4 linked regions of the Rhinolophus ferrumequinum genome follow. The protein of the gene in region 3 purifies or fractionates together with the protein of the main gene of each other region. This does not show direct contact. Links are inferred from orthologs where the notes say so. Each region holds a gene or a part of one and is shown on either strand. Other genes may lie near its edges.

Region 1 (7,812 bases), on a different chromosome or scaffold from region 3:
TTACTACTAGAGATACCTGGCAGGAAAGCTTTTAGTGGCCCTGAGGCTGGAACAGACATGACCAGGGACATCCCTTAGAATGGCTTATGATATGTGGGGGAAAAAAGCTCAAGGGCTCAAACTTACCGGAAGTTTAATTTTACAATTAAGGGCAGTTATCAACTTGAGGCTATAATTTCCCACTAGGTGCATTTTTCTCTTTACTCTACCCATACTCATGTTGTCTTGCCCCTTCCCCCACTCTTCAGACCAAACATTAAACTTGCCCTCCTGCCCTCAATCTTAACAATTACAAAACTCTCAGATGGACGATGTGATGGAAAGACTCCTAAATTGGGAGATGGGAGGCCTGGGTCTGCTCTCTGGTTCTGCCATTAACTCCCTATGTTCCCTTAGGCAATTCTCACTATTGTACTGCTTTAAAAGACTACCACTCAGACACTACCTCACTTAGTTCCACAACCTTTGGGAGGTATCAATACTACTGCCCTTCACCAATACATGAGGAAATTTACGGCTCAAGAAGTGGAGGGACTTTCCTAGGTTCCCATGGGAAGCAGCAGGCTCAACATCTCGCCCAGCCCCATCCTCCCCCCAAGAAACAAACCTCCACCTCTAGGTCTTATGAGAGATACGACATTCTGGATAAAACATCAGGAGTGCGTTTTCCTCTCCTCCACCAAGACCTGACCTATTCAAGAGTGAAAGTGATATGGGAGAGTGCCCTCACCACAAAAGTTTTAAGCCTCCCTCACTATAGAAATTTTAAGTCTCCTTTTCCCTACTTTGTAAGCTCCTGAGCGCCTGGCTTTGATTACTCTTCTGATCAGTTTCTGAATCCTAGACTAAAGATTGCTCCTAGCCTGAATCACAGGATGTTTCGCACCCCGGCCTCAGATGATTACTTAAAAGCCTGCAACTTCCCAACCTCCCCAAAGCCATTCCAGACCTAACTCTTGGCCATCCCAGAAACCAAATAGGTTTTCGCATTCCCACAGGCCAGTACACTTGTTGAATGTAATCTATGAAGCCTAATGTTCTTTCCAACCCATTTTGGGCCCAACTCCGGGACTACTGACGCCACCTGAATGACTGGTTGAATGGCCACAGGCTCTAGAGAGCTAAAAGATGTTAATTAAAACCTATTTTTCCTCATTCAGGGGCTTTGGGGATACAGCAGATACCCCAGCAAGACTGCCAGTCCCAACCAAAGAAGCCAACACAGTCTTCCAGACAGATCCCGAGACCCCTTCCTCTCATCTGAGATCAGATAGTTCTGTGAGAGGCGAGAGTTCTGTGAATCCCCCAATGGGTAGGGACAGCTCTACGCCCCTGTCCAACAGGAAGCCGATACAGAAGAAAAGATCTCCTGTCCCTCAACTTCCCATAGCCATTTTATGGGGATCATGTCTCTCAAGGGAAAAACCAGGCAGGCAGTTAGAGACAGGCATCGGGTCTCTACATTACCGCCCAGAAGACCTCCCCTCTCTGTCTGAAACGTCCCCCTTTCTATTGTAAACAAATGAGTACAAGATATCCAACTAGATCAAACCAGCCACTCACACCTGCACAGTTTAAAAAAGATGAGGTAATAGCCTCTTGTCAATCACAGGTGTCAATCAGGCGGTCCCACGCCTGGAAAGGAACAGCCCATTTGAGAGAAAAAGATAAAAACCACCAAGGCCTCATTAGTCGGGGCCCTTGAGCCATTCTCTACTGCTCCGACCGCTTCTATTTCTTTGAAGTGTACTATCTCAAGTGTACTATCTCTTCTAATAAATTACTCTTTCACCACTTTATTTCTGTGTCTCGTTCAATTCTTTGCTCCGGACGCCAAGAACCTGGACTCTGAGCAGAGAAGGACTCCTCTCCAGTAACAAAAGCAATACATTTATTGTTGGGGAGGAAGCTTCACCTTCCCTCTCTTTTGAAGCATAATCAGCAGTTAAAGAGTACTGAGGCTTTGGGGTAAACACACACACACACACACACACGCACACACACAAATACACAGAATATCTTTTCAAGAAGCTGAAAAGTTGCTTCCAGAGAACACTGAAGAGCTGAGGAATAGGGGAAGGGACCCCTTTCTGAATGTAAAACCATGTGAATATACTGTTTAAAACACCCCTGTAGTTTTAAGATGAATTTTAAAAAGCTCTGTAAGAATACAAATAGTGTTTATAAAATAATGGTTCCGCAACTCCACTTGTTGCCGCACGACCCTGGGCAAATCACCTATCTCAAGCCAAGTTTTCTCACTTGGAAAACTGAGTTGTAACCACGAACAGCATTATCTAAAGGGCTTCTGTACACCGCATAATGTACGTAAAGCGTTTAGCACCATACGCGACACCCTGGTACGCCTACGGGAAATGCCAGTGACCAGTATTATTTGGCATGAATATCACCTCTATTTCAAGCAGCACCCCCGCCCCCGTACACACCTGTTTCCACGGTGTACCCACAACTACGGCGCAGTCCCTCACATTAGCACAGCGCTTGTAGCTCAGACACTACCTCTCCACACTTCACCATCTTTCAAACTCATGGCAGCCCTGGGACATCCCTGTTAACTCATTTCGTAGCTAAGGCAACTGAGGCACTAGGAGGCAGTAACTCCGAGATGCAATGTTCCCATCTCTACCATCAACTCCAGATCCCTTCAACCCGTTCGTCGCTCTCAGGTTCCCGGCGCCCGGAGCCGTGTTCCGCGCGGCACTGACCTGAGCGAGCGCCCCGGGGCCCGGGACCTCGCGCGGGGTTCACACCGACTAGGCGCTCTCGGGCCGACAGAGCCTCGCAGCGGCCGGGTCCGCTCCGCAGCCATGGCGTCTGCAGGGAGAAAAAGACCAATGGCCCGAGGCGCGGTAGGTCAGCAGAGGCGCAAGTGCCTGAGCACCCCCTCCCCAACCCGGCCCCGCCTCAAATCCAGCACAGACCTGGACCAGCCGCCGCCGCTCCGAGTCTGCAACCTCACAGGGGAGCGGCTTCCGGTGCTGCTTGCGTCATCTCCGCGCGTCCCTGCACCCGAGGCGCCCGGCGGATGCGGCTGCACTTCCGGCCCCCGCCTGGAGGGGGAAACGGGAGGGCCGGGGGGACCACCGGGGGAGGCGGAGCGTGCGCTGTACGGTCCTCACGACGCTTCGTCTGATGGACGCTTGACCAAAACTTACTTCCACGCTGTGTATCCGAATATGTCCGGCCCATTTGTGTCCCTCATCCAATCTGATCTTGCTCCAACTCTGCGGCACTTTTTGTTATTATCCTCACTTTATGGAGGAGAGGGAGAAGCTAAGGGACGTGTCCAAAGTGTCTTAAGACGTGTCCACTGAACACCTGTTATGTCCCGAACCCTGTTCTAGCGGGTTGGAGTAGTGAACAAAAATCACTGACCTTCTGCGGCTTACCTCCCAGTGGAGGAGGCAGATAAGTAAGACAGGGTGCAAGCTTTAGCAAGTGCTAAGGGGAAAAATTAAACGGGTTGGTGAGGGAAAGAAGAGAGTCGGAAGATCCAGATTCGAATCCCAGCTCTTACACACTCTGGCTGTGCCCATGGCCTAGTTACTTAACCACTCTGGTTTTATTTTCCTTATCTTTATAGCGTTATAGTATCCTCCCTCTCTTATCATTCTGAGGACTAAGGAGATGAAACAAATTTTTTAGTGTCAAAAACTAAAATCATGGGAGATGAAATACAAATTTTTTAGTGTCAAGAACTAAAACCATGTGCTTCCTATGTGCCAGGTACTCATCTAGCCACTTTATGTGTGTTATAGCACTCAATTTCCACAACGACTCTACATGGAAATAGTAGTTACTATTATGACTGCAATTTTAGAGTTGAAGAAACCCAGGTCAAAAGAGGATTTCAACCTCGGTGCTCTTCGGAGCATAAGTTATCCTTGTCTCTCTGGAAGGGCTCATAAACCTCGCGCGCGCGCGCGCGCGCGCGCGCACACACACACACACACACACACACACACTCACATGCATTATACCAGTATCCAATAGGATTCACAGCAATGATATTGTCTACCTGTGCTATCCAATAGGGCAGCCAGTAGCTTCTTGCAGCTATTGAACACTTGAAAAGTTCTTAATGCAACTGTAAGGCTTGCGGCGAGATAATGAGGCTAGTCAGGCGGGGACCATGCCCGTAGCTGACCTAACAGCAACTAAGTAAATAAATTTTTGTATTTAATTTTAATTAGTTGAAATTTAAATAGCCACATGTGGCTTAGGGCTACCATATTGGACAGTTCGGTCCGATTATATAGACATAACATGTAATATAGATAATAAGACAGTCAAACACCCCATTAGTGGTATAGCACAGCCAAAGCTCCAAACATCCTGAGTTTACCTAGGGTAACTGAAACATGGGAAATAAAATCATTGACCATGTAGAGTGGAAGCCAAGTATGGTGTCCTAAAAGTCAGGTCTCAAGGGAGCAAATTGGATGTGGTAGGCAACAGGAAACCTCTGCAGAGTTCTAAGCCAGAGAGTCACTGTTGACAATATTATAAGAAAAATTTTAAAGACATGGGTACACAGATAGGATAACGTCTATGAAAAGGAAGCCACTACTAAGGTAATAAAAAAAATCAAGCACCACTATATATTTGCAGCAAACACTCTCAACCCCAACATGGTAGGAGTTTGATAACTCAAACTGAAAAATTCTAGATGGAGCTGCCCCAGAGACAATATTGTTTAAACTTCTCATGGACAAAGAAACCAAATTCTCTAAGCCCAGAGGAAATCCAGGAGCATAATTTATGGCTCCAAAAAAAGTTGCAAAATAGAATGTTTAAATACCCGTAAGACCTATTTAATCATTAGATTTATTATATGTAAAACTTCCCTTTCACTTGAATGGTTTCTGAAGTTAGATTTTCCCACTTAGTAAACATTCCCCAGATTACGTTGTTGAGAAAGCATAGACACCTTTAAATATAATGAGTTATTCCTAGCCAAATAATTACAAAAACTGCTGTGAATAGCAGGCAGGCGAATCAATATATGAAAAGAAAAAGAGGAAATATAGCCTGCTATGACAACAGAATGCTCGGTACAATTGCTTATGTGATAGAAACATCAAAATATACTGGGTGTTCTTTTCTTAAAATAAACTTGCTGGTAGAAAGAGTGTTTGGGATAATTCCTACACATACATGCTCTAGGAAAATAGCCAACATCAAATGCTCAGTCTCTTCAATTTAGGCTAAAATGGACTACATGTTGTTTTCCATTTTGAGATAAAGTTGCCTGGGAGAAGTAGTTGGATTTAGTAAAGTTCTTGCATAGCCTATATTAGGAATTCAAAATCCTTCCCAATGAGAGATACCCCAAACCTCACCATATGTTTCCTTGGGGAGAAAAACTGTACCCACACAGGATAACATGTATTCCTTGATGTTTGGTGCACGTCTTGCATGTGAATGTACTGGGGGGCAGGAACTACTCCAACTGTTTAGTTTCTCTCTTTCTTTTTTCTATTCCGCCATCTTGATAGATTTCGCTCAACAGTTTAGTTTCTTGAGAGACACTCCAAACACTGTATGATGTTTCTCCTTGTGTGATGGTGCTGTGGAAGGGGCGATGTTGGCTGAACTATTCTTTCCACTCCCATGCATACTTCACCTGGAGCTCAGCCTAAAAACAAGGGGTCAGTTTCAAGAGGTACAGAAGATTGGAAGCATTTGAAGAGGTTCACTTTTTTTACTCTTTGTTCTGGATTCACTCCAGCTGTAACATGATCAGCACTTGCTCTCCTATAGAGCCAGCAGGTATTCTGGGACAAAAGCTCAGGTTGATTGGCCAGAAACCTTATCCTGAAGTCTCAGGCACAAAGTACTTTACCTCAATTGCTGTTAGACTGGCGTGATCCTGAGATACATTTGGGCATAATTTGGCATCTGGACTCAATAATTTCCAAAGCTCTGAAATTGCTCACAGACAACATGCAGGTAAGTTTCTTGTAATCTTTGAAGCATTTGCTATCTATTAAAATAGGCTTTGAGGAGGCTGAAGTTTCTTCTATGTACAAATAATCAGCACTGAGAAAATGGGAAGGAGTTCAGATTAAAATTTCAGGAGTTTGTTTTGTTGTTTTTTTCCCATTGAAAAAACACGGAAAAGTAAAAGATGGGAATCAGGATTCTCTAGTGGTTAAGAGTGAGCTTTGGAATTTGATATACTTGAGTTCAAATCATAGCCCTACCCCACCCCTTCACCCACTGAATGATCTTGGGCAAATTACTGAACAGCTCAGATACTCAGCTTAATTTTGAAGAAAACGTATCTGAAAGGGATATTACCAGGGCTGAATGATTAAGGCGTGTAAAGTGCTTAACTCAGTGCCTGGCCCATGGCAAATATTATGGGATGCTTTGTTGATCAAAGCTCCAATGAAGAGAGATTTAATTCCTTTAATGTTCCCTGGCTTTATTATATTACAATACTGCATATGCTCTTCCAGATGGAAAGTTTCCATCTCCTTTGATGAGGCGGAGTAAACTTGGCAGGGATCCATCCTAGATCTCTGAAGGGGTGCTAGCAGATAGCAGGAATCTGTCCATATTGACAGACATGTCAGATGGATTAAGGGACATTGTCAAAACAGACAATGTCAGAATTCAGTATTAGATTAAGTTGAAAAGTTAAACTGGAAGAATGTAAATGTTTGATAGCAGCCATTGTGCTACAATGAAGTGGTTGCCAACCAAAGCAACCATTTCATTGAAAAATAGCCCTTGACCTTTGTAATTAGAGAAGAAACTGATCCAGGTGCTTCGATTCCAGAAAGAACGTCATGTATTTTCCTACAGGTTTTTAGCACAATGATGCCACTTGTTACTTTATGTCCATGTGTCTATGTCTGATTCCTCTTTGCTCTCCCAGTGTTTTAACACAGCACCTTGTATTATAGTAAGCAGGCTCTCATCCAAACAAGCAACCAACCAACCAACATTTTATTCATTGTCCACTTTATGCCAAACACTGAACTCAGCAGCACTGGAGAAGAGCGAGATATGATGCCTGCTGTGCAGGAGGCCACAATCTGGTGGGAGAGACAGATTCACAAAAATAAATAATAGGAAACACTTAAAATAATGTACAGCTAAGTGCTAGTAAGATAAGAGGTACATACAGTGTTCAGTGGGGGCAAAAACAAATGGAAATGAAGCTTGAATGAATGTGTGCTCTTCTCTTATTTAGGTGACAGTCTGCAGACTTCGGACTCACCAGTGGTGTTTCATTCTGTTTAATGTTATCCTATTTCATGCCCTGCTTTTTGGGGCAGATTTTGTGGAAGAATACTTTCTGCATGCTTTGCCTTATGTAAATATGAAAGTTCTTGAAATTAAAGATAAGGCAAGAAAATTGAACACGGAGCCCCTAAGAAGTAACCTTTCCAAATATTATATCTTGAGCCAGTCAGAAGTGTGTAAAGGGAAGAATATATTTCTGCTCTCTCTCATCTTCAGTAGCCCAGGAAATGAAACAAGACGGAACCTCATCAGGAAAACCTGGGGTAATGTGACCAGCATCCGAGGGCACCCCATTCTCACACTGTTTGCTTTGGGGATGCCTATTTTGGTAACTACCCAGCAAGAGATAGACAGAGAGTCCCATAAGAATAATGATATAATTGAAGGAATCTTCTTGGACAGTGCTGAGAACCAAACCTTGAAGCTCATCACAATGACACAGTGGGCTGTGACTTTCTGTCCTAATGCCCTCTTCATTCTCAAGGTCGAGGAAGAGATGTTCGTCAATCTACCAGGCTTGGTCGACTATCTTCT
Region 2 (6,911 bases), on a different chromosome or scaffold from region 3:
ACAAGAACTAGAAATTGTAACAGCTATATACAATGTCAGAGAGGCAGTAGATTGGGGGAGGGGAGTTATCCCTTTGTGAGGGGTGCAAATGTCTATTACATTGTTTTGTACCCCTGAAACTAAGAAAACAAACAAACAAACAAAAAAACAAGAACTAGAAATATAAAATTTCTGAATTCACAAGAACTACTTCCTGCAGGCTATGCTGTACTCAAGAAGGGAGGGGCCGGAGAGAGAAGTCTAGTGCTTTGGGCAACTCAACCCACCGAGCATGTTTTGCATGTTTTCTCCTCTGTAAACCAAGGTGGTGGTACCAATAAGCTTTAAGATCCCCTCAGTTTAAAAGTCTAACACTTCTGCCACTTTTCTTTTTGAAGGTAGCCAGGGAATTTCATGTCAACCTGTGTGCATGCTGGGAACACAGGAATACAAGGGTCCTGAGCCAAAGTCGTCACCCACCCACAGATCAATCTTAAGTACACTCCTGCGTTGTTCAAAGTACTTGACGTACTTCTAATTAAGCAGTGGTATCAGGGAAGAGGGAGCTAAGGAAGAAACATAACAATTCATTATTATCAGACAAAGGCACAGGCTGTTCAAAATGCACACAAAACCAGCTGGACTAGAAGCAGAGGTTGCAAACTAGCAGCCCGTGACCAAGTGCATCAAACACTTGGTCCAAATACATGTGTGTGCAAACAACGTTTCAACCAGTTATTTAACATCTGTGATCATGCATGCTTTTAGCTAGGGCATGGCTTTTCCAAGTAGAAAATAAACTTTTTCCCTTCTAACGTTAACATTTATTTATAGAGATGAATTGCACTAAGGAATACCTAATTTTATTCTCCACAGAAGAATGCATTCAAATTTGTCCAAAGTTCAAAATTTGAACGTTCCCTTTCAAAACTTGACAAGCTTTGAAAATATTTCAAATGTATGAACTCCATTAAGTAATAGTAATTGAATTTAGAAAATAGGACTTCATCTTCAGTAAACCTGGAGAATAAAATAAGTAAGACTGGCTGTATTTCTAGACCCCCAATCAGAAATAAATTTAAAATATTGGGGTGGACTATTTTCCAGAGTCACAAAAAGTTAAGAATCAGGACCTGTGAACGCTTTGTGTTAAGTAAAAACAAAAACAAAACCATGCAGTTCAGCAATATTTAAAAAACAAAAACAAAAACAAAAAAACTTTTCAGGGATAATAAAAGTAAGACAATTTAATTGAGGGAGCAATAATTTTGATTTACAGATAGCTTTTAATCCTATTAGCTTAACAAATAATGCAGTTCACAACTGGTTAGAACCTGCAAAGCCAGAGAGAAGAACCGTATTAATTTCGTCAAGCCTTCTGGGAAAACAACTGGGTGAGATTTGTAGTGTTCAATCATCAATGATCCCCCTAATCATGTGGAGGCTGCAAAAAAAAAAAAAAATGGCTAACCCACTTGAAGAGAAATAACGCTGAAGAGAAAAAAAAAATCCCTCTACATTGTGTTGTGGGTCCCTCCCTCCTTTTCCACCCCCATTCTCTCTCTGGCTTTAGAAAAGTAAAGCTGGCAGGGACAAATGGCTTCATGTTGTTGGATGGGAGGAAAAGGACACAATGACTCTTGCAGCCATCTAAGTGAGTAAGGGATTGTGAGAGCACTGAAAAGGGAGATATCAAAAAGAGCTGGATGAGCTAATGCCTACAAACCCAGACACACACACCACGACCAGGCAAAAGCTTAGAGCCACATCAACAGATTCTTACATGCTCTGAAAAGAATCTCTTTGAGAACGAGGCTACAATCTTCCGGGCTTCTAACCCAGCTTTTTGCCGAACTTTATACTCCTCCAACCAATTGACGTAGTCAGTGGGGCTGTAGTGTTTCATAAGGGAAGGCCACCTACAAGGAGAAAAACACCCCCTCAGCTTAACAGAGACTCAAAGGCAGGCAGGCAGGCAGGAATCAAAGGCAGCCTTGGAAAACAGGGAAAGCAGTATGGTTTAGTGGTCAAGGGGCCCTGGTGATGGACCCAGTTCCAATCTCCACCCAACACGCACGCACTCGCTCACGGAGTGACCTTGGCATTGCCATAAGAATGCTTGTGTCTCCATTGCATCTATAAAATGGGGACAATTGTAGCGATAATACAATAATAGCGATGACAATGACAGTTAACATGCACTGCGCGCCTCCTAAGAGCTGGGCCCTTTGGCAAATGCTCCCTACACATCTCATTTAATAAGCACAGTCAAAGGTAGGTCTAATTATCAGCCAAGTCGGTGAACGAGGCTCAAAAAAGGGAAGTCTGCCCACAAGGTCATACGGCGAGTATGCCAGGGCCAGATTTTATCCCGGGTCCACACCGAAATCTGTGCTTCTCAACCACCAACCAGAGGATGCTGCGCCCGCTTCCTCTCAGGGCTGTGGGGATCACCGCATCACCAGATCCGTGTAAACATTTTAGCACAGTGTCGGGCACAAAAGAAGCGCGCAGAATGGATGAGCTGCGATACTACCGTCGTCATCCGTTAGGGAGGGCCCGGCTGCTGGGCGCTTCCCGATGCGCAATTTGGGCACCGGAGGGTCCGCGCGGCATGGACCCAAGGGGCCGGCGGCCTGGAGGCCTTTGTCTGTCGGTCCCCGGGAAGGGGTCTGGGGGTGGCATCCGGGGTGGGGTCCGCGCGCGGGCCAGGAGGCGGCGGCTCGGGCCAGCCAAGCCCGCGCGTCCCGGGGGCGCAGAACCAGGGCACCAGCGGCCAGGGCGGCAGGCTCACCTCACCCGGAACTGCTCCTTCCACACCTTCCCGCTACTCTGGCACAGCTCGCGCAGCCGCCGGCAGGTGCTGGAGACGCGGCTGATGTCCGCCGCCGACAGCGAGCCGCTGCACAGTATGTACTCCAGCACCTCGCCGGGCAGATTGACGAGGCAGCTGAGGCCCGCCGTCTCCGGCGCGGCCTCCTCCGCCAGCGCCTGCACCACTTCCATCGCGCTGTCGACCGCTGCTGCCGCCATCTTGTCCGCGTACCTGGGGCCGCTGTGCGCGCGCGCCGGGGGAACCCCACTTCGCTCCGCCCACCTGCCTTGAGGGGCGGGCCCCAGGATGGCCCTGCCCACGCCGGTAGCTCCACCCCCTCTGCCCAGGGTACTTGCGAGGACTGCGCCTTGGCGACGGGAAAGTACCGCGTTTTGGAAAGTAACTGGGCTGTGGGCCTTGGAGCCGTGGACCGACAATGACAATGACAACATCCATCTTTCTTATAGTGCTGGGCGCTTCCTGTGCAGGAGCTCGTCGAACCTTCCCAATAACCCTCTTAAACCATTATTGTCCCCAAGCTACGGATAGAGAAACTGAGGTTCAGGGAGATAAACAGACTTGCTCAGACTCCCTTGTTCTAGATTCTAATCCAGATCCTCTTGACTTCTGCTTGACCGTACTCTAAACTAGCATGCTGTGATCACAAACTTAATATTCTTGAGTGGATGCTGTGCCAAGCACTTTACATGCCTTCCTCAAGGACTCCTCATTTGGGCCCTCTATGGTAGGTACCATATTTGTACCCATTCTACAGATAAAGAAAACAAGGCTCAGAAAGTTGGGAGTCACTGGTTCAAAGTCGTAGAGACAAAAAGTGGTAGATTTGAATTCTCAAGGCAGAAGTTCCCACTCAGGTGTGGGTGGGTACTCTTTTCGGTGTCTGCCCTCGTAAAAGAAAACTCAGGTACGTTTAGTGCCAGGCACTGTGCTTTGTCCCCTGGGGATACAGAGGTGAGTAAGATGGTGTGCTTGCCTCTCAGGAGCTCCAACTCCAGTTGGGGTGGGAGGTAGCGGGGACACACAGGTACAGAACAATGTGTTGTCAGTACTGTTGTCCTGAAGGGCTCACTAACCTCCTCCTCCCCAACCTGGAATCAGCAGAATGCCCTGAGACAATTGAACTAGTAACTGTTACTTTCTGTGGATGTTGTTTTGCCTCCATGACTCTCTCTCTTGCCCTTAGGGATCTGAAATCCCTAACATTGTTGCAAAGACACAGACCCCTATCTACCACTCCAAGCCTGTCTGAAGACATTCTTTCCTTCACTAACCCTACCAGCCAGGCTGATCTCTTTCCTCCCACTTCTGGCCTTCACATGTGTACTATTCCCACTGCCTGGAATGCGCTTTATGCCGGCACTCCCTCCTTCTGGCTGCTCTTCTCTTCCTCCCTTCTCTCATCCCAGCCCCAGAGCCAGACACGGCACCTTTTCAGCATTTTGCAGTCGTGTACTTATTTACTTAATTGATAACTGTTCAACCTGCATCTTTCCTACTAGATCAGAAGCAACTTCAGGATCAGGATTGTCCGGATGCCCAGTTACTTTTCACAGGCTCTGCTCACAGCAGATTCTCAATAATTATTTGCTGATTACAGTTATCTAACCAGTTGTTTACAGCGAGTTACTTAGCCTTTCTGAGGCCCAGTTTCTCATCTGTAAAATGGGGATAATAATAATAATGTTGGCCTCCTGGGACTGTTGAGAGAATTAAATGAGTATGTTTATATAAAGTGCATGTGTACTGTGCCTGACACACAGAACACACTTGATAAAAGCATGTTTTGGGGGAATGGGAAGCAACTGCTTCATGGGCTCAGGATTTTATTTTGGATTGATGGAAATGTATTGGAACTCAACCGAGGTGATGGTTGCACAGCGTTGTGAATGTACTAAAATGCCACTGAATCATTCACTATTGAGTTTCATGTTATGTGACTTTCATCTCAATAAATGTGTTTGAAACTATGTTACTGCCTGTATTCGTTTGCTAGGGCTGCCATTACAAAGTGGCACAGACTGAGTGGCTTAAACAACACAAAGTTATTTTTTCACAGTTCTGGAGGCCCAGAAGTCTGAGATCAAGGTGTGGGCAGGGTTGTTTTTCTCTGGGGCCTCTCCTTGACTTGTAGATGGCTATCTTCCCTCTGTGTCTTCACGTGGTATGTGTGGGTGTGCGTGTGGGGGTCTTAACTCTTGTTCTTATAAGGACACCAGTCCTATTGGATCAGGGGGCCACCCTAATGATCTCGTTTGACCTTAATTACTTCTTTAAAGACCCTGTCACCAAATACAGTCACATTCTGAGGTCCTGGGGTTAGGGCTTCAAAATAGGAAATTGGGGCTGGGGCGGGCGTACAGTGTTACTGCAGCTGCTGCTACTATGGTCATTAAAACAGAAAGATTTAGAGTAACCCCTGGAGTCTGGCAGATCTGGGCTAGATCCTGGACCTTCATGCCTCTGAATTCAGTGGGCGTTCCCTGGCCTTGTTTTTGCCGTCTCCACAGCATCAGCAGACATTGTTTACCATGCTGTTTCTTCTCAAAAATGCTGACTCACCTTGGCCTCTGTGGCCCTACCCTCTCTTTAGGGCTGTTCCCTGTCAGTCTCCTTTGCCGTCTCACCCAGATGGTACATGTTAGGGTACCATGGGGCACAGCCACAGGCCCCTTCTTTCACTTTTCTCACCTCTGTCGACATCTCGAATGACAATCCAAGCTCAGCTAAAATGTCCACGTTTCTCTCTGGCCCGGCTCACTCCTCTGAGGTCCAGCCTTGCTTAGCCAGCCAACTGCTCACCTGACATTTCCTTTGGGCCCCTGAAATTGAACTTATCTGGGACTGAACTTACAGTTCCCCCTCCCCACTTACCTTGTCTTCTCCCAGTGGTTCCTGCCTTAGGAAAGGGTGCCACTCCATCTATTACGGCAAAACCGGAACTCGTCACCGTTTGGCACCTCACCATCCAAATGGTCCCTAGCGGTTAATATCTTTGTGCTTTGGTTTTCTCACCTATAAAATGGGGATAACAATAGACCTTCCTATTAAATGAAAATATGTATCAGTTACTGTTGCTGCATGGCTCTCAACCACTGTACATACTGTACTTACCTCTGTCCGATACTGTAGGGCCTGGAAAGATGGTTAAGATTTTATCTTAAGTGTGCTGGGAAGCACTATCCATGTTCAAATGCCCAACAGAGGTTAAGTTCTCTGTGCCTCTGTTTCTGGAACAGGGAGGCCATTTTCTAAAAGATCCTAATATTTCTTAGATTTGTCTCGGCTCACACTGTCCCAGCCCACGTCTGCACTGTGGTTCCCAACTGTTCTCATGGCTTCTGCCCTGGCCCTGAGAACACTCAGACATTGATAAACAGCTTCCAACCTGTTAGGTGCAAGGCAGACCCCACAGCTGCACAAATGATCGGTAAGCCATTCTTAGGAAAGACTATTGCTTTCTTATCAATGATGTCCTGGCCCTCATTCTTTCTTCCTGTCTTCTGACCAAAGATGCTGTCGGGAAAAAATTAAAATCTCCTGCCAATCTAGAAAATCCTTGCCGCCACTGTAGTAAAGGAGAACAGTTTTCTTTCTTTTCTTTTTTTTTTTTTTTTAAATTGGGGAATATTGGGGAACAGTGTGTTTCTCCAGGGCCATCAGCTGCAAGTTGTTGTCCTTCAATCTAGTCATGGGGGGACGCAGCTCAGCTCTAAGTCCAGTCACCGTTTTCAATTTTTAGTTGCAGGGGGCGCAGCCCAGCATCCCATGTGGGAATTGAACCGGCAACCTTGTTAAGAGCTCGCGCTCTAACCAACTGAGCCATCCGGCCGCCCCAGGAGAATAGTTTTCTTATTGAACAAGCATTAAACCAGACTGTGGGGTACATCACAGGTAATCTGCTGATGAGATTGCAAAGACAGAGAGAAATCCTACCCTTTTTATATACAACCAAGCACTGCATTACATACCTACTCTCGAGATTCATGGTAACTTGTCCTCAAGTGAGAGGACTTGACTGTACTATACCTTTGTTGTAAACTCTTTTCTAGTTCATCCTAAGCTTACCTGGTAGTTGGGATACTCATGGTGCTACCTA
Region 3 (6,988 bases):
TTAGACCAAGATAGGGGGACAAGAGGTGGAGAATATTCCAGGCAGAAGGAACAGGAATAAAAAAGAGCATGGACACTTCAAGAATGGAGAGCCAGAGCAACTAACTACTAGACTGAGCAGGAGAGTGGCTCACGATGATGCTGGAGAGGTAGATGAGTGATTTAAAACTAAGTGCCTACAATTTTAATTCTAGAAAGTTGACATTTCTTTGCCCCACTTCTGATCTCAATAGAAAACCATTTTAATACCTGGATGAAAAAGTAATCTCAACTTTTTCTAATGTGGTCAACCTTCTTGCCCCTATTGCTATATGGATACTAAGTCTGTCAATAGCTATCAAGTTCACCATGTGTTGACCACCACGTGTGACGGAGTATGTGGAGATTTAAATGAAATTTTAGTGCAATTAATTGCCTATTTAGATGTTGGCAGTGATGTCCTTTTACACATCGGGCTAACATGCAAAATCCTTATTTCTTAGGCTTTTCTTTATAAATCTTGCTGAGCACAAACTAACTCGGATAGAATATTTTAGCTCAAAGTTTACCATTTTTGCCTTTGAGTTTGGGTCCGAGATGGGAAATACAAAGGAATGATCCACAATGCCTCTGGGTCCACAATTCACTGTAAATGTGACTATGCCATCTTTAGATTGAGTAGATATATTCTGAGAGATGGGTATGCCTCCAGTACATCATAAAAACTAATCTGTTTCAAACATACCAATGGACTAGATGCAGAAGACCTCAAGTGCTCTGACTGTGCTTTGTATTTCATTGTGAAGAATAAATAACATTGGTGACCATCAGAAAAGCCACAATCTCTGTAACCTTCTCAATTATCCCTCCCCCCCCCCATTTACTTACAAAGATCCATAATGTGGTTCCTGCAGATGGCACAATTATCAACCACAATGTCCCAGGCCCACAGGGCTACTGCATTCCACTGCAAAAAGAAAAAGGGGCACGATGCAGTCATACACATACGCATACACACACTCTAGGATTTCATGCTGCAGTGGCAAGTTAGCATCTCTTTGGCCACAGGGACCACCAAACAAGAGTCTTTGGATATTACTTTCTTCTTATTTATTGCATTAGATGGCAATAGTAAGCTATACATATGCTCACCCATTTCCCAAACAGCTGAGTACATGAACACAGAAATTAATGTGTCATCTTCTAATTTTACTTTTTCCTACAGCTTAAAATGATCTGGTCAGCTATATCAATGTAAGCAAATCAGGAATAATTTGTAAGTGCTCATTTCAGGTTTAATGAGTAGAGTCAAATTATTGTGCAGGTTCCCTGGCAGTTGCAGGAGAGCTCAATTTCTGCATAAATAAATATCTGCTCTTCAACGCAAGCATGAGTGGGGAGGTGAACCCTAGGAACAGAATGAACTAAGATGATGATTGGATCATAAAATGGGTAATCGTGGGATAAGCTGGATAAAATAATTACCCAGTGTCAGTACACAGAACAAGGTCATCACTTAAGTCTTACAAGATTACTTCCTAACAAATTCTAGAATTCACTAGAATTTTGTTTAGCTCCTACCATCAAATAAACTGATGGGCTCAACTTTTCATGTGAAGACTCTTATATATAGTTAATTCCAGTAGGAGTTTATCTAAAAGTGGCATTTAAGTAATTCAACCTTCTGGCTTCTGCAATTATAAATATTCACAAACTTCCTTTTCATCCACTAATTTGATGCCACTTCCCAAACTGTCATCTCTTTCAATCCAATTTTCAGTGTCTTAGTAACTTCTTCAGCACTTTTTACCAGACAGCTTCAACTTGGAGGAAAAAAATCCTACTTCTATTATTATTCAATATGGCTGCTGATTGTAACTGAACACGCAGTGCCCACAATGAAACACCAAAAATCAACTAGGAGGGGGAATATTGCCAGTGTTTAGCCAGATGTTCTAGGAATAACATCGCCCCTATTTCAGAATCTTCATTTTGAACAGATTTATTTTATCTTAAGTGGAAATCGACACCTTTCCTCCTGTTAGGAAACCACGATAAGGCATTTCATGCAAAAAGACACGTTCCACATTTTTCGCTATCCCACTTTTAGCAGGTCGTTCGCAACTAGTACTTAACCCTCACTCAATGAAACAAGATTTGGGCTCGCATTTTCTTTATAACAAATTCCAACATGGTGTTTTGGTTTGTTTTTTTTTTTTGGAGGGGGATTCTGGATATGACCACATGACTGGGGCGGCTTGTGTGACAATCAACAGATCTCTCAAAAGAGCCAAGAGTTACACTCAAAACAAGACACTAACTCGGCCGGGCTCGGGACACAGAGGGGGTTAATGATAATGGACGCCTCGACTAGGCTAGGACCGGGTCTGGGTCCCTCACAGAGAGAGACCCCGAGGTTCGTAGAGGGGCGGGGCAGGGAGATCACCAGCCTATCTCCTCAGAGGCCTCCAATGCGGTAGGACCTCAGGTTCCCGGCTTTCGCCGCACTGCCCCATCCTCCACCCACCGCATCGCTCCGACTCCCCGCCTTCTACCCACCCCACCCTCTCCTTCCCCACCCCTCCACCACTCCAGTGACAGCTCAGGCGCTTGGCTCCCGCAGCCAAGTCGCAACCCCGCGTATCTCAATAAGCACATCCGTGATTGGCCCTTCAGCCTCTTAGCGAAACCAATAGCGCCACTGACAGTGGACCGCAGGCATGCCGATCAACCCTAAGACCCGCCCTCCGGCTTCCTTTCGTGGTACCCGGTCCCAGGAACGCCCTGAAATGAAGCCCTTTCCTCCGCGCCTCGGTCATCCACGGGCCTGCCAGCCAGATCCGCGCCTCTCTAGCTTCCCTGAGGAAGGCGCTGGCGAGACCCAACCTTTTTCACTTCAAAGCGCTTCTTGCCCGCGCCGCTGTTGGTGCCGGTCGGGGTATCCACATCCATCGCTGCCGCCATTTTGGAAACACACGGTCCGTCGTCCGGCCACTGCGCCTGCGCACCAGCGCACGCCTCGCTCCCCCTCCCGCCCCGGCACCTCCTCCCGCCCCCCATCCCTTACTGGCGCGCGAGGAGCAGGTGGGGGCGGAGCATGAGGCCACGCCTCTTAAAGGCGCTGGCGCAGGTCACCCTCCCTCTTGCGTCGGCGGGGGAGGAGGCGGCGGTCGGAGCAGCTGGGGCGGGGCCGGGCGGGGCAGGGTAGACGTGAGCGAGCCGGGTGGAAACGTTCGAAAGGACTCGCTCTCGTCGCCCTCCCCTGGGAAGCCCCCGGCCACACTCCCTCAGCTTGGGCGGCGGCTGCTTCCTCCGCCGCGGCTGCGACCTGCCGCCCCGGCCCCGCCCCGCCTCTCCGGCCGCCGCGCTGCTGGCATGCCGGCGGCTTTTCCACTGCGTTCAGTCTGGGAAGAGGCTAGGGTGGACGCCCCCCTTCCTGCTGCGGAAACCCGAGTCCGCACACTGGCGGTTCGCAAATCCTCACCCGCTAACGATACAGGCTCGCGATACAGCTTCCCTGGGAGGCCTGAGGCTGGGGAGATCAGGGGCCCAGGGCACCGTTTGGTTTTCTGAGTCCAGTTCAGGAAATGATCAGGATTCGACCGGGAGACAGGAGCTCCCCGAATGTTCTCCCCAGGGCCAAACTGTGCAGGCATTCCCCAGCCCTGCCTTCAGCTGCCCACCTGAAATAGGTGGAAGAAGGAGGCTTGGGAGCCTGGGAGGTGCCATTTCCAGCCCGCCCGAAATACCAGTCCGTCCCAGAATGGTATTTGGTTAAGGTACACGATTTCAACTTCACGCAGTTCAGCACACATTTCCCATTCCCAATTGGTCATCTAACTGTGGGGTCCTTCCTCCCTAATTTTGGTCCTTTTCCCCGCTCCTAGCACTGTGCTTGGATCTGTGGTCGCAGTACTTCTTGAATTTGTTGTATGAGGCATTCAGCTATTTATTCTTCCCGGTCATTCTTTCCCAGCCAAAGCACCTGTATTTTGTTACCTTCGCATTTCTAGACCGGACATCTGATCTAGATAATCCCTTTTGCTTCTCTCCTCTTGCAGAAATATAATTTAGGTCACTCTTAACTCTTACATTGGCTTATTTGAAATCTCATATTTTCTCTTAAAAGAAAATTGGAGCGCAATGGAGTGTTGACTCCGTTGCTAAACGGGACTAATTGCGATTTGTTTCCCTGCTGTAGTCATAAACAGGAATATCAAATCCGTGAAAACATTACAGCTTTAACCAGACTTAGAGAAAAATTGAGACCTTAAAAGCATTATAGGAACCCTACAAAGTTTTTCTTAGCTCAAGTTTTGTTAAATTAATTCCATGTTAAGATTTTTGTCACCTATTTATTGTGTCCTAAAGGCCCCTATAGGAATACTAGAAAACCATAGTAAGTTATTGAGGACATATTTATGCTTCATTCAACAAATTCATTGAGTATGTACCAGGTCCTGTTATAAACAGGAGAGATTCAGTGATAAAAGGAGTCAAATTCCTACTAGGGAAATAATACACAAGTCAATGAATAAATATATCAGAAAATCTCTGGTATCGAGCGCTGTGAAGAAGACAAAACAAGGTTATGAGATTGATGGGAGTCGGAAGCAACATTAAATTGGGGGGTTAGGCCTCTATGAGGAGTGACATTTAAGCTTAAGTCCTTACTATGGCTTAAAAGGCCTTGCATGATTTGCTACCCATTCATTTTACGATGCTTTAAAAAAAAATGCTACATGTACTTTCTATCATAGTTTTTTCATTTTTTGGGTTTATTTTTGTATGTCCTTACTAATAGAGGGGATTTTGATTGTTTTGTTTATTGATAACAAAAACTGGAACAGTGCCTGGTACATTGTAGGTGCTCAGTATGTCTTGAATGAATAATTTTGAAGCTTTTAGAGCAAGAAGAGTGTGGTAAGAGATGTTGGACAAGCAGGCAGGGCCAGATTAGATACGGATTTTATTGCAGATGTTATGGAAAGATATTGGAGGAGTAAATTATGGGAGGGGACTAACTGACAATCTTAAAGATTGTAAAAGTTTTAAAGCTTTGTGAAAAAGGGATTGTAAGGATAAAAGAGAGGAAGCAGCAACAATTTCCAAGTTGTCTGATTTGTATATAGCTATGATGGGAAGATGTATGATCTTAGGGGTGGTTCCATTAAGCTCTGAAAACCTCATCTGCTATCTCTTTTGGAGATTTGCCTTGCTGTGGCAATTGGCATAACATTCTGTATACTACATTCTGCTGCATAAGCCTACGAAAACTTTTTGTAGGTTTCATACAGATTCTTATTCTTCATAATTTCACTCAGTTTACAATGCAATAGGTTATGATTTTACTTTAGTATTATTCCTTTCAGCCATCTGTCCATTCAACAAATATTTCTAAAATATCTGCAGAACCTGCTGTGTGTCAATTACACCATGATCGTCTATATAAAAAGTAATCTGATATTTTAAGTTTTTGCAAAAGGCCCCATTTCATCATTCAACTTATGGTGTGGTAGTAGAGAGGTGAGTCAATTAATGATAATTCCAGTGAGTTTTAGGAAAGGGAAGTATACGGTACTGTGAAATAGAAAGCAAATCTAAGGGTTAGGAGGTAGTCCTCTTAGAGGAAATGGTTTGAGATTGAAGGATGAGCCAGACAAAGGGGTGGAAGCAGTGGTATGCTGGTAAATGTTTTAAAATCAGCTAAAAAAAACCCAAACCTTGATTTGTATCTTAAGCAGCCAGATTTCAAAGTTCCTGAAAGTTTAACAATTGCTCTTGTAAGCTGATGTAAGTTGGCTCAGCACTCACACAAACAGATATGGGAGAAGGTGGCATTCCAGGTAGAGCCAACAGTAGAAGGGGCTGGAAGCTGGAGTATGTACTCGTATAGAGCACTGGTAAAGAAGCTTGGAATGGATGGAATATAAAGAGAAACAGTGAAATGAGTCTGCAATAATATTCAAGAGTCAATAGTTAGCATCTCTTCCATATTCCGCAACATCATGTTGGTAGCTTAAAATTGGCCATAATAGTAGTATTTATACCATGGAAATCAGCAAACACTACAAATCAGGGTTCCTCCTACCACACAGAATTGGTTGTTAAACATTTACCACTGGTAGGGGCCAGGTCATGCAAGGCTGTTCAAAAGATCCATGCAAAGAGTTTTGGTTTTAGTGATAGGAAGCCATTGAAGGGTTTTACCAAGCGAGTCGCATGGTCAGATATGCCCTTTAAAAAGGGTTAGACAGGACTTCCACTTCTGGGAAGATGGAGTAGACATACTTTTCTCTATCTTCCCTCTAAGTACAACTGAAATCCCTGGACATATTTAAAATAAAATAAAATTTAACAATAACAAATAAGAAGACTTTGAGATGGAGAGAAGGCAGACCAGTTAGGGAGCTCAGGATTTGAGGAATGATGTGGTAGTGAGTTTCCTGGGTTTTCTTATTGTCTCATACATCCCCCCCAGACTTGGAGATGAAGAAGCTAGAATCCCCAAAATGCTAATAAGTGCAAACAAAAAAGCCCTAACAAAAGGCTGCTTTTTCAAGCAAACAGAAAACTTTTAGAAAATATCTGCTCTACTCTATCCAAACAACACAGAAAAATTGTGGCCCCACTCCCACCCATGCCAGCAAAGCTGAGTGGGGATCCTAGTCTATACAGCTCACAAATCTGTAACCAGGTGCCCTAACACCTATGCCAGGGTGGTAGAAGCCAATTAGGGAGTTGGAACTTTTATCCTTTCTGGCTGATAAGCCCCCCTACCCCTGTGGTAAGAGGGAACATAAGGGGGTCAAGGCTTTCACTCCCACCCAGCAGTAACAAGACACCCCTGCCCATCCTTGCTGGGGTGGTGTTAGAAGAAACCTAGTGGAGAGTTAGGACTTTCACCATCGCCCATCAATCATGAGGCCACCTCCACTGCAGTGTCAGTAGAGACCATGTGGGAAGCTGGAACTCCTATCCCTGCCCAGCAGTAACAAGGAGCACTCCCA
Region 4 (7,301 bases), on a different chromosome or scaffold from region 3:
TTCTGTGTGTGGTTGTATTTGTGTGCGTTCTGTCTGTTTATAGTTGACTATGACTCTGGATATCCGTGTTTGTGTGTGAATTATGAGTATCCCTCAGCAACTGTGGGACTGTGTCACCCTGTCCCAATATTATTTCTGTGTGGGCCTGTTTCCATGGCCAGCCCCCTTCCATCCCAAACTCTCCCTGGGCCCCAGTGTACATGTGGGGTGGAGGGCAGGGGGTTAGGGCTCCTTTCCCAGTTCTGCGAGGCACATGCTCGCCTCCGCAGGCCGCGGGGATGGTGCGAGCCCAGCCTGACACTGCACCTGGCCTCTCTGCAGCCTTGGGGCAGGAGGCCCATGGATCCGGGGCTGCTGAGGCCGGCGCCGGTGAGCGAGGTCATCGTCCTGCACTACAACTACACCGGCAAGCTCCGCGGTGCGCGTTACCAGCCCGGCGCCGGACTGCGCGCCGACGCCGTCGTGTGCCTGGCTGTGTGCGCGCTCATCGTGCTCGAGAACTTGGCGGTACTGTTAGTGCTCGGACGCCACCCGCGCTTCCATGCGCCCATGTTCCTGCTCTTGGGCAGCCTCACACTGTCCGACCTGCTGGCTGGCGCCGCCTACGCCGCCAACATCCTACTGTCCGGGCCACTCACGCTGCGCCTGTCGCCCGCGCTCTGGTTTGCACGCGAGGGTGGCGTCTTTGTTGCTCTCGCCGCTTCTGTGCTGAGCCTCCTGGCCATCGCGCTGGAACGCCTCCTCACCATGGCGCGCAGGGGACCCGCGCCGGCTGCTGGTCGCGGGCGCACGCTGGCGCTGGCGGCCGCCGCCTGGGGTGTGTCGCTGCTCCTCGGGCTACTGCCAGCGCTGGGCTGGAATTGCCTGGGCCACCTGGACAACTGCTCCACAGTCCTTCCGCTTTACGCCAAGGCGTACCTGCTCTTCTGCGTACTCGCCTTCCTCTGCATCCTGGCCACCATCTGTGCGCTCTACGCGCGCATCTACTGCCAGGTGCGGGCCAACGCGCGGCGCCTGCGGGCTCGTCCTGGGGCTGTTGGGGGCCTCTCGAGCCGAGCGCGCCGCACGCCGCGCTCGCTGGCGCTGTTGCGTACTCTCAGTATAGTGCTCCTGGCCTTTGTGGTGTGTTGGGGCCCCCTCTTCCTGCTACTTTTGCTCGACGTGGCGTGCCCGGCGCGCGCCTGCCCCGTGCTCCTTCAGGCGGACCCCTTCCTAGGCCTGGCCATGGCCAACTCTCTTCTAAACCCCATCATCTACACGCTCACCAACCGTGACCTGCGCCACGCGCTCTTGCGCCTCGTCTGCTGCGGCCGCCGCCCTTGTGGCCGAGATTGGGGCGCCTCCCCGCGATCCGGGAGCGCCGCTGGGGCTTCGGACGGCCTACACCGCTGGCTGCCCCCGGACCTGGATGTCAGCTCTAGCCGCTCCGAGCGCTCGTCGCCCCTGCGGGACGGGCTGGACATCAGCGGCTCCAATAGCGCGCCCACAGCCGCGGAGACCCTGGTATCCGCACCCGCACCAGCTGCAGACTGACGCCTTCTGGCCCGCCATTGCCCTCCCTAAGAGATGTTTTGCAGACTTTTTTCTTTTTAAATAATAGAATTTATAGGAAAAGCAGCCGAAGATAGTGGAGGAAGAAGAGACACAGGGAAATGTACTTTATTGGCCTTAAGCCCCACAACAATGAACAAAACAGACAAGAATCTCTGCCCTTGTGGAATTGACGTTCTGGTGGGGGCACAGGCAATAAAGGAGTGAAGAAATAATGGAGACAGTTCCAGTGACAATACAGTGATGCGAATGTGGTCAGAGGACGCCTCTCTGCAGAGGTGGTGGTAACTGATGTGAGCTGAGACGTCATTGTCCTGGGAACACCTGAAGCAAGAGCACTTCCGGTGAGGGAACCACAGGTGCAAAGTCCATGAGACTGGAACGTTCCTATGTGCTCTATAAAAGCAAGGGCCCAGGTGTGGCTGGAGCATCAGTGAAGGTGAAGGCGGGAGAAAACAAAGGCAGGAAGATGACAGAGCAGATCACTGTGGGCTCAGGGAAGGACTTTACTTTTGTTCTAAGTGAGGTGGGAGCCATGGAGGGTTCTAGGTAGAGGAGGGTCTTGATTTGGTTCAGGTGTTCACAGATCTCTGTGTGAGGCAAAGGTGTAAGCTAGGAGAACAAGGTGAAGGTGACTGCACTGGCCTGGGGGAGAGATGATGTCAACTCGGATAGATTCTGGAAACAGCGAAAAGAATTACTGAGGAATTGAGTGTGAGAGTGAGAAAGAAAGTAGTCAAGGACAGCTCTGCAGTTTAGAGGGGAGGACACCAAAGACAGGACACCCTAAAATTTGACTCTGGGAGTCTCAGCCAATTCCTATCTGAAACAAGATGTCTTTGAGAGTGGTGTCAGATTCTTCATAAAAAATGAAAATATAATAAAATAATAATAAGAATTACAGCTTATTGTGCCTGGCTAGTCGCCCCACAGTGGTAAGCTCAGGACACACCTTTTTCTCACCCTTACTGCTACCTTGCAAGGTGGGTTTCCTCACCCCCATTTGACAGATGAGGGAACTCTAAGCAGTGAGTACCTTGCCCCAGTGTCTGAGCCAGGATACTTGCCGAGGCTGTCAGGCTCCCAGGCTCAGTCCTTGTGTCTGGCTCCTCCAGAGGGGTCTGCATTCTCGGCCTGGGGCGATACCAGGGCCCCGTTTGTGCCCATAAAAGGCTCCAGACGCCCTGGCCACGGTCCCCGGCTGTCCCTGAGCGCAGTCCTGACCCCTATGCGGCCTGGACCGTTGGGTGGGGCGTGCCGCGGAGTCACTTCGGGCTCAGACTGTGGCCCACCATCTGCCGGGAGACTGCGGAACTGCAGGCAGTCACAAAGCCATGTGTTTTGGAGGCACTCACCCAGCCTGGTGGCCTGAGTTTCCACCTGCCACACTCAGGTCCCAACAGGCTACACGCACGGGAAACCAACCTATTCTTGGAACACAAACACTCAAGCCTCGGGTCACGATCCCAGGACTGGACCCAATTCCCTACCTGCCCTGGTGCCCCCAATCCCAGGTTCCTTTCATATTCCAGGGGAGCCTGAAGTTCACCCCATTGTTTGGTTACTTGATGGCGTGATGGTAGATGTATTCACTTGTTCACATTTTACAAAAGTCAAAAAACACGTCCCCTTCTTGGACATGATCACTGTGGGGATTCCTGGGAAACTTCCAGAGCTATTCTGTGGATAAATGAGCTGAAATATAAATACATCTTCCCTCTTTCTACACAATTTTAGCACTGCTCTGCATCTTGCTTTGTTCACTTAATAGTATATCCTGGAAATTGTTGCCCATCCACAGATTTTTGTATTGTTTGGCTGCCTTAGTCTGCTCAGGATGCCATAACAAACACCACAGCCTCGGTGGCTGAAACAATAGAAATTTCTCACAGTTCTGGAGGCTGGAAGTCCCAGATGAGGGTGCCAGCATGGTCGGGTGCTGGTGAGGAATCTCTGCCTGGCTAGCAGACGGTCACCTTCCTATTGTGTGCTCTCATGGTGTACAGAAAGAGAAAAAAAAGCTCTCTGGTGTCTCTTCTTATAAGGGCACTAATCCCTTCATGGGGCCCCACCCTCATGACCTCATCTAAATCTAATCAATTCAGTCCATATCACTTGTTCTTTTTTTTTAAATTTTTAAATATTGAAGTAAAGTCATACAGCAAATGTCTTGCTCCTTTTCACTGACTGCATAGTATTTCCCAGCATGGATGTGCCACCACTTGTTACACGGAGAGACCCGTGGGTTGAGTCCAATCCTTTGCCTTTATACACAGCGCTGCAAAACACTTCAGTGTACACGTATGTGAGTATACCTTAGATAAATCTCTACAAGTGGCACTACTGGGTCACAGGGCCTGTAGGTTTGATTTTCATATATGAGAGGTTGCCTTAAGGATGGTGCGAGTTTTCCCACAGCTTCCGCCACTGCCAGTATTTGCCAACTATGCTATAGCGTCCCCCGCTGGAGGGGTCCAGAACCGCAGACTCGCGCATCTGGGAAGGCGGCGGAAGAAGGGTACCCCACCACATGCTCCTGCGCGGGTTTAATCCCAGACCCTGAGCAGGGACACTGAATCCTCCAAATTCAGTCTGGAGGCTGGCGGAATTCTTTCTTAAACCTCTTTGCGTTTCCATTATTCACTTAGTTTTCATAGAGGACTCTTTGAAAAATAGCCTTAAATACATTTATTTAAATGTTAACTTTATATCTTAAACAGCGTAAGTGGCAAGTCAGTATTCCATGCCATGAAAAATAGCGATAGTTAACATCTGTTAGGCACTCGCATTCGCATTTAGTGCTCCCGGTAACCAAGGTGCTAGCATTATTACCACCTCAAAGGGAGAAAACTGAAGCATGGAGAAGTCACAGGCCCACCCGCACAGAACCAGAGAGGGTGGCAGAGCGGGCCTTCGAACGCCCCGCAGGCGAGCTCCACGCACCTCTACATTAGAGATAACTAAAAAATATAGACAAAGAAACCCCAGCTAGATAGATAATTCTCGCTGGATCCTGCGGCCGTCGACCGTGAGACCTGCGTTAAAGAGAGAAGCGCAGGTCGTAGAGAGCAGCCCCGCGCTGAGACGACGAAATAGGTCGAATGAAAGGGACAGTGCGAAGGGGTAACGGGCTTTCCTGGCCGGGGCTCCGGGCACCTGCGGGAAGGGCGGAGAATCGCGGCTCCTTTCCCGCCGCGCCCTCTCCCCGCCTCCTTCCCGGGTGTCCCGAGGCCTCCCCTCACCCGACGGTCGAGACCCCTCAGGCTTTGCCTCCTGAGAGCCGAGGTCCCCTGACAGCGGAGGTGCCCGCGGGTCCGGGAGAGCGAAGGTTAGGCGGGAGACGCCCCCGGCGGGACTGCGGCCCCTCGGGTTTCCCGGAAGCTCAGCGCGCGGGTGGCACCACATTGCCCAGAGCCGCCGCCTTGTCCCAGGTATCCCCGCCCCGCGACAAGAGCTACCGAGGCTACGCAGGGGCCGAGGTGAGCGCGGCGGCGGCGGCGGCGGCGGGGAGGAGTGTCCACTGATGCCCGGTGTGGGCAGGGACGCGTCTGGCCTCGAACCCGGTGCCCCGATTCCCGCGGAGCTGACCACGCGGCTAGGTGCGCGGAGAGCTGCGGTCCCTGACCCCGCCGCGCCGCAATGACGAATGCTGTGGTCGCGGCGCTGGGGTTGCGCAGCTTGGCGACAGCCCGCGGGGTGGGAGAGCGGGGAGCGGCCACGGTGCCAACGCCGCCGCCTGAGGCCCCGGGCCGCGGGGACTTTTATTCTGACACGGCAAGCGCCAGGCTCTGCTTAGTCATGGTGACCTGCGCGCGCTCCGCGCCTCCCACCCCCACCCCCACCCCCCAGCGCAGCGATGGAGGCGCCGGGGCCTGGGCGACGGAGGCGGAGCCCGAGCGCGGCCATGGCGGGGTGAGTGAGCGGCCTGCGCCGGGGCTGCGGGCCCGGCGGGCCGGTTGCGCCCCTGCAGTCGTGCCGGGGGGCCGGGGGACGTGGCGCCGCGGGCCCGGTGGTCTGGGGGGTTCCCGTGGCCCCCGGAAGGCCAGGAGGGCGCGGCTCGAGTTCCATCCTTTTGTTGGACGGCGCGATTCGCGGGGTGGCCCGGGAACCACACAAGCCGGACGAGAGGCCTGGGGAGAGCCGCTCGGACGGAGTCCCGGGGACCCCGGGGCGTTTGGGTGCTTGACCTGCGCCCTGGGATTGGCAGTCAAGAGGCCTCGGTGGGGTTACTTCCTTCTCCAGGCCTCGGTGGCGGCTCAGGCGGGGCATGCGCAGTCCCCCACCTAGTGCTTCGTTAGGGGAAATGCCCAGGGGGCACCGTTGACCTGTTGGCCAAAGACCAAGAGGCAGACCCGGGGCCTTGGCTGGGGAGAGGTGGACAAGCGGCGCCCCGGGCCGGGTGAAGGAGGGTGCTCTGGTAGGCACAGTGGCGTGGGCAGTCAGCCAGCCATACCTTACTGACCCATGTGCAGTGCCAGACCCCAGGCTGGACTTGAGGGAGACACATGAGAGGGTGGGCACAACCCTGACCTGCCCTCTGAAGCGCTGGGGCTCAGGGCCAGAGGGACGGGTCACCCCTCAACAGGCAAGCAAAGAGGCTTATTTCAGTTCCTGACAAGTGGGGTGATGGAAATAAAACTGGGAGGTGACTCTATGCTGAGCCCCAGAAAGATAAGGTGGAGAACCTGGGGATCCTCTTGCAGATCCACCCCCCTTCTCCCCGCAGGACCTTTCAAAACACAACTCATGCTCCAGCCCTCCAGACTCCACAGGTTTCATGGAAACCCTCCCTTCAGTAGTCATTGTCTGTCATGACACACCTCCTTGCTTCTCCAGATTGTCTCATTCTGCTTCTGAGCCTTTTGCACTTACTCTTCCCTCTGCCTGGAAAACTAATGACTGTCACAATGTTGTCATTTTCTTCATGATCTCAATTTCTACTTAAGTCGCTTATTTTATTTATGGCCATTTTCCCCTCCCTCCCCCCCCAGGTATCAACTCCAGCACAGTTTTTGTTTGTCTTGCTCACTGCTGTGTCCCTGGTGCCTAGAACAGTGCCTGGTACACAGTAGATGCTCAATAAACGTTGGTGAGGTGAATGAAGGAGTGAATTGGACATGCTCTAGGAAGGGAAGGGCTACCTACCAAACAGAGTGAGCAAAGGGGAGAGGCGGACAGGGACGGAGTCTGAAGGGCTTTGCTGGCCATTGAAGTGTTCGGTTTTACTCTCCGTGCTGTAGACAGGTGTGGGGGGATTCTGAGCAAGGGGGTGACATCATGTGACATGTTTTAAGAGGGACTCTTGGGCTAATGAGGCCATAGGACATTTAGCAAGCACAAATGGATGCAGCTTCACCTGGGCTTGGCAAGGAAAACTGGTGTAGGAGTTGCTTTATCTTAATAAAGGCCTGGCCCCAGGCCCTGCCCCCAGCCCTGTGCTCTCCCTCCTCCAGGCCCCTGAGTGCCAGTGGTGGTGTTGTCCCTTGTCACCTGGAACCCCATGCAGCTGGAATCCAGGCCTAGCAGGGCTGGGGCCCGTACCCGATTCCTACCCCTGAGGTCACAGTGCCCCGACGGGGCAGGGGACACAGTGATGTACGCCTCCACCGAGTGCAAGGCTGAGGTGACACCTTCCCAGCATGGCAACCGCACCTTTAGCTACACACTGGAGGACCACACCAAGCAGGCCTTTGGCATCATGAATGAGCTGCGGCTCAGCCAGCAGCTGTGTGATGTCACGCTGCAGGTCA

Evidence for each region.
Region 1: the proteins of RBX1 (region 3) and FBXW2 purify together in Homo sapiens (affinity purification with western blotting; 3 studies listed by BioGRID and IntAct, with this or other methods). This does not show direct contact. The link is inferred for Rhinolophus ferrumequinum from reciprocal best matches to the Homo sapiens genes RBX1 and FBXW2.
Region 2: the proteins of RBX1 (region 3) and FBXO21 purify together in Homo sapiens (affinity purification with mass spectrometry; 3 studies listed by BioGRID and IntAct, with this or other methods). This does not show direct contact. The link is inferred for Rhinolophus ferrumequinum from reciprocal best matches to the Homo sapiens genes RBX1 and FBXO21.
Region 4: the proteins of RBX1 (region 3) and KEAP1 purify together in Homo sapiens (affinity purification with western blotting; 6 studies listed by BioGRID). This does not show direct contact. The link is inferred for Rhinolophus ferrumequinum from reciprocal best matches to the Homo sapiens genes RBX1 and KEAP1.

The regions. Positions count from the first base shown.
Region 1 is NC_046295.1:71,265,221-71,273,032, forward strand, and holds the start of FBXW2 (F-box/WD repeat-containing protein 2), read right to left. Parts: upstream 3,023-7,812; 5' UTR 2,943-3,022; intron 2,836-2,942; 5' UTR 2,727-2,835; intron 1-2,726. Other genes in the region: B3GALT9 (beta-1,3-galactosyltransferase 9), read left to right, coding at 5,968-5,973, 7,226-7,812. UniProt on the Homo sapiens protein: Substrate-recognition component of the SCF (SKP1-CUL1-F-box protein)-type E3 ubiquitin ligase complex.
Region 2 is NC_046308.1:10,891,620-10,898,530, forward strand, and holds the start of FBXO21 (F-box only protein 21), read right to left. Parts: upstream 3,013-6,911; coding exon 2,774-3,012; intron 1,899-2,773; coding exon 1,763-1,898; intron 1-1,762. UniProt on the Homo sapiens protein: Substrate-recognition component of the SCF (SKP1-CUL1-F-box protein)-type E3 ubiquitin ligase complex.
Region 3 is NC_046293.1:6,875,393-6,882,380, forward strand, and holds the start of RBX1 (E3 ubiquitin-protein ligase RBX1), read right to left. Parts: upstream 3,023-6,988; 5' UTR 2,943-3,022; coding exon 2,865-2,942; intron 946-2,864; coding exon 867-945; intron 1-866. UniProt on the Homo sapiens protein: E3 ubiquitin ligase component of multiple cullin-RING-based E3 ubiquitin-protein ligase (CRLs) complexes which mediate the ubiquitination and subsequent proteasomal degradation of target proteins, including proteins involved in cell cycle progression, signal transduction, transcription and transcription-coupled nucleotide excision repair.
Region 4 is NC_046301.1:39,782,476-39,789,776, forward strand, and holds the start of KEAP1 (kelch-like ECH-associated protein 1), read left to right. Parts: upstream 1-4,282; 5' UTR 4,283-4,879; intron 4,880-5,224; exon of another isoform or gene 5,225-5,463; intron 5,464-7,004; 5' UTR 7,005-7,051; coding exon 7,052-7,301. Other genes in the region: S1PR5 (sphingosine 1-phosphate receptor 5), read left to right, coding at 154-1,493, 2,591-2,720. UniProt on the Homo sapiens protein: Substrate-specific adapter of a BCR (BTB-CUL3-RBX1) E3 ubiquitin ligase complex that regulates the response to oxidative stress by targeting NFE2L2/NRF2 for ubiquitination.